2 linked regions of the Daphnia pulex genome follow. The protein of the gene in region 2 interacts with the protein of the main gene of each other region in a biochemical or structural test. Links are inferred from orthologs where the notes say so. Each region holds a gene or a part of one and is shown on either strand. Other genes may lie near its edges.

The links.
Region 1: of the proteins of ubiquitin-protein ligase E3A-like (region 2) and FAS-associated factor 2-like, one has a biochemical effect on the other in vitro, tested with the Homo sapiens proteins (2 studies listed by BioGRID). The link is inferred for Daphnia pulex from reciprocal best matches to the Homo sapiens genes UBE3A and FAF2.

What each region holds. Positions count from the first base shown.
Region 1 is NC_060019.1:5,817,666-5,821,791, reverse strand, and holds FAS-associated factor 2-like, read right to left. Parts: upstream 2,702-4,126; 5' UTR 2,477-2,701; coding exon 2,417-2,476; intron 2,336-2,416; coding exon 1,918-2,335; intron 1,855-1,917; coding exon 1,494-1,854; intron 1,423-1,493; coding exon 1,155-1,422; intron 1,096-1,154; coding exon 949-1,095; intron 869-948; coding exon 695-868; 3' UTR 552-694; downstream 1-551. Other genes in the region: ATP-dependent RNA helicase vasa-like, read right to left, coding at 3,278-3,346, 3,422-3,538, 3,597-3,769, 3,822-3,936, 3,989-4,126. UniProt on the Homo sapiens protein: Plays an important role in endoplasmic reticulum-associated degradation (ERAD) that mediates ubiquitin-dependent degradation of misfolded endoplasmic reticulum proteins.
Region 2 is NC_060025.1:1,159,662-1,164,238, forward strand, and holds the start of ubiquitin-protein ligase E3A-like, read right to left. Parts: upstream 2,890-4,577; 5' UTR 2,812-2,889; exon of another isoform or gene 2,739-2,811; 5' UTR 2,513-2,738; coding exon 2,472-2,512; intron 2,411-2,471; coding exon 2,245-2,410; intron 2,186-2,244; coding exon 2,057-2,185; intron 2,010-2,056; coding exon 1,215-2,009; intron 1,144-1,214; coding exon 973-1,143; intron 909-972; coding exon 573-908; intron 495-572; coding exon 441-494; intron 379-440; coding exon 24-378; intron 1-23. Other genes in the region: crustapain-like, read right to left, coding at 3,400-3,613, 3,745-3,902, 3,972-4,095, 4,238-4,320, 4,400-4,577. UniProt on the Homo sapiens protein: E3 ubiquitin-protein ligase which accepts ubiquitin from an E2 ubiquitin-conjugating enzyme in the form of a thioester and transfers it to its substrates.

The sequences.
Region 1 (4,126 bases), on a different chromosome or scaffold from region 2:
CGCTATTCCCGATGCTTTAATCCGCAACTGTTGTAAATTCTCCGAGAATCTCTGGGATTTTTCCTGGTCTGTAGTAAAGACAGCTCTTCGTTGTTTTTTTTTTTTTTCATTTCTCCTATTTTTTTTTTTTTTATTATTATTTTTCCCGATCATAAATTATTGTTCCGTGCGTGTGTTGTCCTTGTGAAACCAAAACTTTCCAGAGAAGAGGAAAATTAATGAAGACATTTTATGTTCATTTCTAGTAGGGCCCTTAACCTCTACACTCCCATACACCCCACATCTCCCCTCCCCCCCAGTGTTTTCCTTGAATTTGATTTTTTTTACCCAATTATTTTGTTCTTGATTGGTTCGGTTTCAACCGCTCCCCTTTCCTCATTTCCACTAAAGCTTCTTGATTCTTTTGTTCAAAATTCCTTTTTTCCTAGACATTTATATGCAAAATTTATTCAATAGCTAACAAAATAGCCGGGGCTTGTCAGGTGTCGCTCTGTGCTGTTTTGCCGGTTTTTCTGGCTTTCGGGTCAAAATTAAGGAAATAACAGAAAATATATATGGAAATTCTTTATTCTTTCTTTATGATCATGATACTTTTATGGCGGTTTAATACCGGGTCAATGTGAAATTGAAGAAAAATTTGGGGGCAAGAGTAGGTAAAGGTTTTTGTAAACACATTATTTTTTAACTCTACTGATCAAGCATCCAAGTCCAAGACGAGAAGAGCTTCAGAGGCTCCAAGACCTACTTCTGCCAACGTCGGGTAAGTATCCATGTCGGGCTGCCATGGTAACGTTCGCTTAGGGAAAGAAGTAGCCATTTCAAATTGATATGGAGAATCGGGATGAGCCAAAATAAAATAGTACAGATCCTATTGCGAAATAATTAGCAGATAAAAAATTTTATATGGTCATGGATTTAAGGTTTGAAATGGCCATGAGAAAAAATTACTTTGAGTGTGTGGATTGTTCGATGGAAGCGCCGTTCTAGTTTCTGCCCTCTAGGTAATCGGATCAGAATACGGCAAATTCCGGATTCGTCGGCAGCGGGTTCTGGCGGTATCAAGTTAATTGCTTCTTGCTTCCTCCGGATCATTTCCTACAAAGGGTGGGTAAAATTAAATCCGGATTGGATAGCGATATACTTGTCGTCCTTACCTCTTTCTTTCGTTCTTCGGCTAGTTCCATCTCTCTAATCTCCCTAAGACGTTCTTCTTCAAGCAAACGATCACGTCTCTTTTTCTCTTCCTTCTCTTGATCAGCTCGTAACGATTCGAGATAAGCTTCATCTTGCTCTAACCTTAGAGCTTGGTTAAAACTACGTTCTTCACGGTCTGCCCTTGCGGCCACTAGAAAAGCTTCATTATCTGAAATTGTGGTTCGTAAACGTTGAACTAGGGCATCTGGTTCAATAAATCCTTCAATTCTGCAAATGAAATCATGAAAAGATCGTTAAAAATCGATTTCAATATTGCAACAGAAATTTTTCCCGTGTACCTCCCAACGACGGTCATACGGAATTCCCTCTGAACAATAATGGCCAAAAATGGGTAAGTATTCTCTCGAAGCGCTTGCGAGACACGGTAGCCTTCCAAACTATTTACACTGCACGCCCACATTAAGCAATTGCTATTAATGAACTCTATGACTTGAGGGTTGCAGAGCGTCTGACGGCAAAACTTATTTGTGTCTTGGTGGTCTTTACAGTGGAGGTATGCCAACAAAAATTTAAGATCTTTTTTAGCTTCATTGAGAACCTGACTGTAGGTTCCAGGATAGAAAGTTGGGTGTTGATCTCCAAATGTTTCATTATACTCGTGAATGAAGGAAATGACATTTCCTGTTGGATCTGTGACAGCTATTGGATTAACAGAAACACAATTAGAAAGGAAATTTTGAAGGAAAGTAGAGATTTAAATACCTGGTCGGTTTTCTGGTCTGATGATCCTGAAGACAAAACGGGTTAAATGATAAAATGTAACCATCACAACTCTTAATGGAAGAGATGAGAGGAAAAACAGCCATCCTGTAAACCCATCAGGCCTTTGGTTTGGCAATGGAAAAAGGCCTGTGTTGTCATCAAGGAAGGGGTTGAAGAAGTAAGTCATTATCCTTTGAATAACTGAGTCGACAGGTTGTGTTCTAGGTGGGTTCTGTGGGAGAGGTCTGTGGACAGTAGGTTGTCCATTTTGTAGAGGAAATACAGGCATTTCCCTGGCAGGTTGAGCCATTTCTCTGGGATCTAGACCAAGATGATCATGTATGGCTGTCTCTACATCCCAGTTGTGCCTCTCTAAAATCTCCATACATTTGTCCAGATCATCGATTCCAGACAACTCCTTTATAAAGAGACATTTACTTAACACTTTTACTTTCAACATTTTATGACGAATATATACATGAATAAGTCGATTTCTTACCTGAAATTGGACTAGCTTCTCTGTATTTTGAGGACTGAGTTCACGATCTTCAAGATCCATTACAATTTATTGTAACAACTTTGGGAACTACAGTTGCCTAGCTTCTTCTTTTATTGTGTCTTTTAATCAGTAGACTTTTCTAGCAACCATCGGTGAAGAACTGAAGATGAATAATATTTCCTGGGTTCCTATCTTGGCCGCTAGGCTGCACTCAAAAACTTTTATCAACTCAACTCCTTGTCCTGCTCGCGGGGAGTTACTTTGAACATCTCCGTGTCCGTGTAAAATCTGAGATCAGTTTCCTGTTGATAAGAAAGTATCGTAAAACCCTCAATTCATCTGATTTTACACTACATGCGATCTTCATCACCCCAAATTCGTGGAGATCGCGAATTTTTGGCTACATTTGATAATTGCGCAATAGTAAGCGATTATTACTTTTCATGTACTCCAGGTTAATTTGCATACACGCCTTTGCAAAATTGAAAGTTGCATGCATACCAAGTGAGCATGGTACTTTTAAGTTAGTTTTATAATTTAAAGATTCAAATAAAACAAGTCGATTTCATCAAAATTTCCTCCCCTACTATAGTTTAGTCTTTCACAGCAATAACAATTGAAAAACAAATAAGCTTAGGAGTAAGTAAGTTTTTTATAGAAAAAAATTTAACAAAGGAAATTTGTTCTGTATTCGTAATCTGGGTTAGAAAAATAAACACATAATAACATTGCGACAAATTGATTCTTAGTAAGGGAATTCCAAGATTTTCTTGGATGAGATTTCTTTTCTTTTTTTAATTTGGAGAACTCCAAACGTTAAACAAAAATTTAGAATAATGAAGAGGCGCCGTTGAAAGTTCGTTAGTCCCAGCTCTCCTCAGCTTCGGTTGGACGTTCAGCTCCGCCACCTCCTACAGGTTTATCACCAAACTGAATATAAAAAAAAAAAAAAACAATATAACAAAAAACACCACCAGAATGTTTACAATCGAAAATTTAACTCACCCGACGCATGTCACGACTAGCGAAACCACCCTGAGTCGAAGGTGCATTGTAATCAAGACCCATTCCACCCATTCCGGACACCAACGCTTGCAAGAATGCAGGGACATCAGCATTGGACTAAAATAATATTCCATGAAAAAACCTATAACACTTCAAAACCATTTTATCTCTTTACCTTTGAAAGCAATGAAACTAGCTTGCCCGCGTTAGGACCATCTTTCTCTACATCAAAGAAACTAATCGATTGTCCAACATTACCCACACGACCAGTTCGACCAATGCGATGCACATATTCCTCAATATCACCAGGAAGGTCGTAATTAATAACGTACTTGACGCCCTCAATATCTAGAAAAATTTGATTTAACATAATTCACATTTTAAACAGAAAGAAATATACCTAATCCACGTGCAGCGACATTAGTGGCAACCAGAACATTACGTATACCAGTCCTGAATTCACGAAGTGCTGTTTCGCGTTGACTCTGAAGACGGTCACCGTGGATACTCGTAGCCTATACGAAAACTTAATAAAAATATTCAATACAATATACGAATATGTTCTACCTGGATATCGCTGTTGCACAAAAATACAGCAACGAAATCTGCCGTTTTCTTGCTGTCGACAAACACAATAGTCCTAGCTTCTCCCAATTCACGAAGGATTTCTATCAATTTGGTCCTCTTTTCATTGCGCGCACATTC
Region 2 (4,577 bases):
GTTTAGAGGAAAATTAGACTTACCTTTCCAAAGAGTTGGATCGAGTTCTTGAAGGTCTTCGAATGTCCCTTTACGACCAAGAAGCTTACGATAGACAACCATAGGAAAGTGAATGTCTAGAATGATCGTGTTGTAAATAGCCAATCCGAGCATGATGCCAATCAACGTAAATTGGGCGTCACTTTCAAACGACGTAGGGTTGAACCAGAAATTGCGAGTGTCGGAGTTGAAGGCAAACATGGCGTAGTCGGGATTGAAAACTTGGTCGATGACTAACTGAAAAAACTCTTTCGACAGACCACCTTCATCAATGCCTTGCTCGCCTTCAAATTCCACCACCAATTGCTTCTTGAGATCCGAAGGATTCTCCATGGCTACCTGTTAAGTAAGTAATTAGTCAATAAGGACGTTTCCTAATTAGATCCCTGATTGAAACTTACCATTTCCAAACCAATAAGGGCATCGTCGATGACATGATCACGTCGAATTTTCAACTAGTGAAATAGGGATAGAAAAAAGTAAGTTTAGTTAGAATCTTTTTAAGAAATAGAAAACCTCTATTGGATAAATACCTTTAGATATGGATTACTTGGTTGTCCGTTCATGACGCTGTTGAAAATACTTTGACGACGTTCGCTATACATTCTGATACGGTTATCATAATAGAGACCGAGGGCTTTGGCGGCCGGTGTAAGAATGAATGGGAAGTTCATGAAACTAATCTTCAATGCATTGTTGGAAGCCGAAGGAGGGGCTTCGGAGGCAGCGGCAAAGTAGGCAAAATCACGATCCATCTCAACAACATCACTTAGCGGTTCGTTGTAGAAGTCAGCAAAAGCGACCGGAGGTTGTCGACAGTCAAGAACGTTGACTCCAAGTTCCGACATAAGTGGATCATTCTTTCTTGTCTATTTAGCAAAGTAAAAAATGGATCAAAACAAATTTTGTTTCGAAATGTCAGTCAAAGCTTACCTTGTTTTGCTTGGAACCCAACCTAGGGGAAGGATCGATTCCAAACGAAAAGACATCGAAGGAATCTTTAGAAGGATCGTCTGTTTCCATCGCGTCAACTGATGCACCAGTCAACTTACTGCTAGGTGTGGTACAAGAAAATATGTTGACGCAGTACAGTATTCGCATCACCTGTTAGACAAATTGGAAAATCAACGAATAAGAGGGGTAAGCATTGCAAAACAATATTTAAACCACTATACCTTGACACAAGCAGTAATAGTATTGTCATCATTGATGGCATAGTCTCGCCCAAAATCTCCTGATAACACTCTAAAACTAATGAGCTGTTGAAGTGTTTGGACCAGATTTCTTAGATTGGGGACACTGTGAGCCGCCCAAAATCGGACTAGAGTGGCTTGTTGGGTTAGAGGTAAAAGAGCGCAGGCGCGGCATAAGGTCGGCAAAACACTTTCAAAGTAGTCACCAGTGCCAAGCCACGGTAGTTCGAAAACAATGACGAAGACGTTGAGCAAATTGACTTCAGCTTTTTGCCTCCCGAATTTCATATCCAGTTCAATAGTTTCGCATAGAAGAATGAGGGCGTGAACTAAGGCGCTTTCGTAGTTTTGTGGCTCGATGGAGCTCAAGACTTCGAATGATCGGCGGACGCAACAGATATCAACGCTGACTTCTTGGCCAACGTCCTGGAGACGAGGTTCTGCGACGGCTTCTTGGCTGTCTTTATCTTTATCCAAATCCACCTCCATCGAGCGAAGTTGTTCTTTACTTAGCTGGCCATGTCCTAATGTAGATGTACATGAGTTGTTTCCTTGCGTAATAAAACTCTTCCCCAACAGCTCAGGATTGGCAAAGACATGTCCCAATGTGTGAACTAGCTTTGAATAGATTCCATATTCTTTGCAATTGTCAACGATCTGCTTAAAATTTGTTTCTGTCAACTTGGTTGGTTTGGAAATGCCTGATTTGTCATTTGCAGGATGGCCAGACACACTCAGAGCTGGAGGAACCCACAATCCCTGCTTCAAATTGGAAATCTAGCCTGATTAATGAGACTACTGAAATGAAACAATTGGTTAAATACTTTGAGCAATTGCTGATCAGAGATGGCACTAGTACTAGCAGGTGTAATTTCAGGAAACAATGTGCTCGGTAGTTCATTCTTGCCAGTGCCAACACAAAGCCTTCCTTTGCGGGCAAATAAATCCAGAGCCTATGCAATATAATCAATCAATGACTGGCTTCTTCTAAAATTATTTTTTATGTTGATACCTGAGCAGCAGCTTGGTTTGGAGAAAGATTTTGAACTTTTTTACTAGAGGCACAATGTTCATTGTTACAGTTTTGGTCACCACATCCTTCAGTCAGCTGGAAATAATAACGTTTGATTAACTGACGAGCTGCAACACGCTTGTCCAGTGTTTGACTGTCCCCAGCACTACCATGTCAAAAACAAACATTAGTATTGGTTACATCTAAATATTAAAATTGCCAAATACCTCAAGATATTGCCACCATCATTTTTACCATTTTCAGCCATGTTGCAATTACTTTTGGCTTAATGATTATAATTTACGTCAATGAAATCAATCGGAAGGCCGTGAGTAGTTGATAAACTTCAAGCGACCGAAAGAAAAAGGGACACAGATGACTAGCATAATGGAATTCGAGCCATTATCTGCTTACAACTTTGTACGATTCCTGATTTGGGAAAACGCGTTTTGATTGAAATTACGTTGACCAGTGGAACGTAAATAGCTCAAAACCTGCAATTAATATTGAAAACGAATTCTCGTTATTCGGGCAAATATGGCAAAAAAAATTAGCTATTTCGTTTACGCAGAGAAATTCTTTGACAACACTTCGCGCACTGAATGTGCTGCTCGACAAAAGCCCTCTATGATCGGATAGTAAAACTAAAACCTTGTGCAACTAATTTTTATTTAATTAATTTTTTGGGGGGTTCCTATGTTTAACAAAAATTCATGAGGTCTATCTTGTTTAGACTTCAGAACCTAAAGACAATTCTAACGCTCAAAGATCCGGATTAAAATTACTAGTAGTTCGTGTGATATTTTGGAATTAATTAAGACCGCCGCAGACAACTCGAATTTCGATACCTGTCGTTGAGGTGAAACAAAATGAATTTCAAACGGGGTTTTTTCGAGAAGGATCATATTTCAGACATTTCTTTATGGAGAAGCGAAAAGAATAGGCCAGAATTTCGATTTATCTATGCTGATTTATGTGTATTGTATCCCAAGTTTACCTAGTAGTTATATAAAATTAACACGCTCATCATCTAAAAGGCTGTGAGTCTGTGACCCACACAGATTTGCAGACAGTGAAACATAAATAAGAAAAATCTCCAAAAGAACTTGTTTCTTCAATGGTTGTTTACGTAGAAAAGATGACCTTTTAATGTTTTCAGACGACGGATGCAACAGCGGCTGGGTAAGTTTCGATACTGCATTTGTTAACACCCCGCTGCATTAAAATGTAGCCCGAGCTTCCCCATCCGGATCCCCATGAGTTACGAACAATCCAGTAATCAACTCCAGAAAGATTACCCCATCCTACGACAACCACACCGTGATTCACGCCCTTATTGTCGCACGCCGCATCAGTGTAAACGCCGCTCCTATTTTACAAATTGAATTGGAGAAACAGAATTTAGATGAATAACAAATTCTCATCCGACATCACAGATAATTAATAGGCTAAATAAATATTTAACAAAAAAAGTGTTTCTTTTTTTGGAAATATAGTTACTTATAAGAGTAAAAGGAGTTGATGACGGTGATAGCCACTGAAAGGGGACCGTATCTCACGAGAGCCGCTTGCATTGAGGATGGTGATTTGGATGTAACGCTACCGTACGTAGCGACTTTCGAACCAATCGTGGACGTGGAAAACTTGCAAGTTCCTTTCTGTAGATAATAAAAAGGTATAGGAAGATTTTTTCAATTAAAAAAAAAACAAACAAATCAATTACTTACAACAGCAGTGTAAGAATAGGCCGACTGTCTCGCTGATCCACTCTTTAGATATTCCCAAGCGGTTGTATACCATCCGCCGTTACAACCACCATTGTTAGGGTCGCAGTCGACCAGTTGTTGTTCGCTAATAGTGAAAATAGTTAACTATTTGAGCAAAATGTCATTTTTCAGCGATTATAAAGATTCCTGTATCGAAACGAACCTTTCTTCGCACACCACACTGACACGAAAAATGACTCAAATATATTGCTCCAAATGATAATTACCTCAAAATAACTTTTGCACCACTCTTTTTGCATTGAGCGAACTCAAGCGGCGCTATGGCAGTGAAAGCCCAACAGCTTCCGCACTGTAAATATTTTAAAAAGAAGTGAATAGTTACGAAACCAGTTTTGTTAATAATGATGGTTATCGATTGTAGAAATTACCGATCCTTGATTTTTAACTGGCGCCAAACAGGTGTTAGTTCTATAGTCCAACTGAAATGATGTAATACATTTTGATTCAATATATATGATTATAGATATAAAACGGATTTGGAAAAAAGAAATAATTACGGAAGTTGGTATCTGGCGCATAGAATCATCCAACTGCTGATCGGCAATC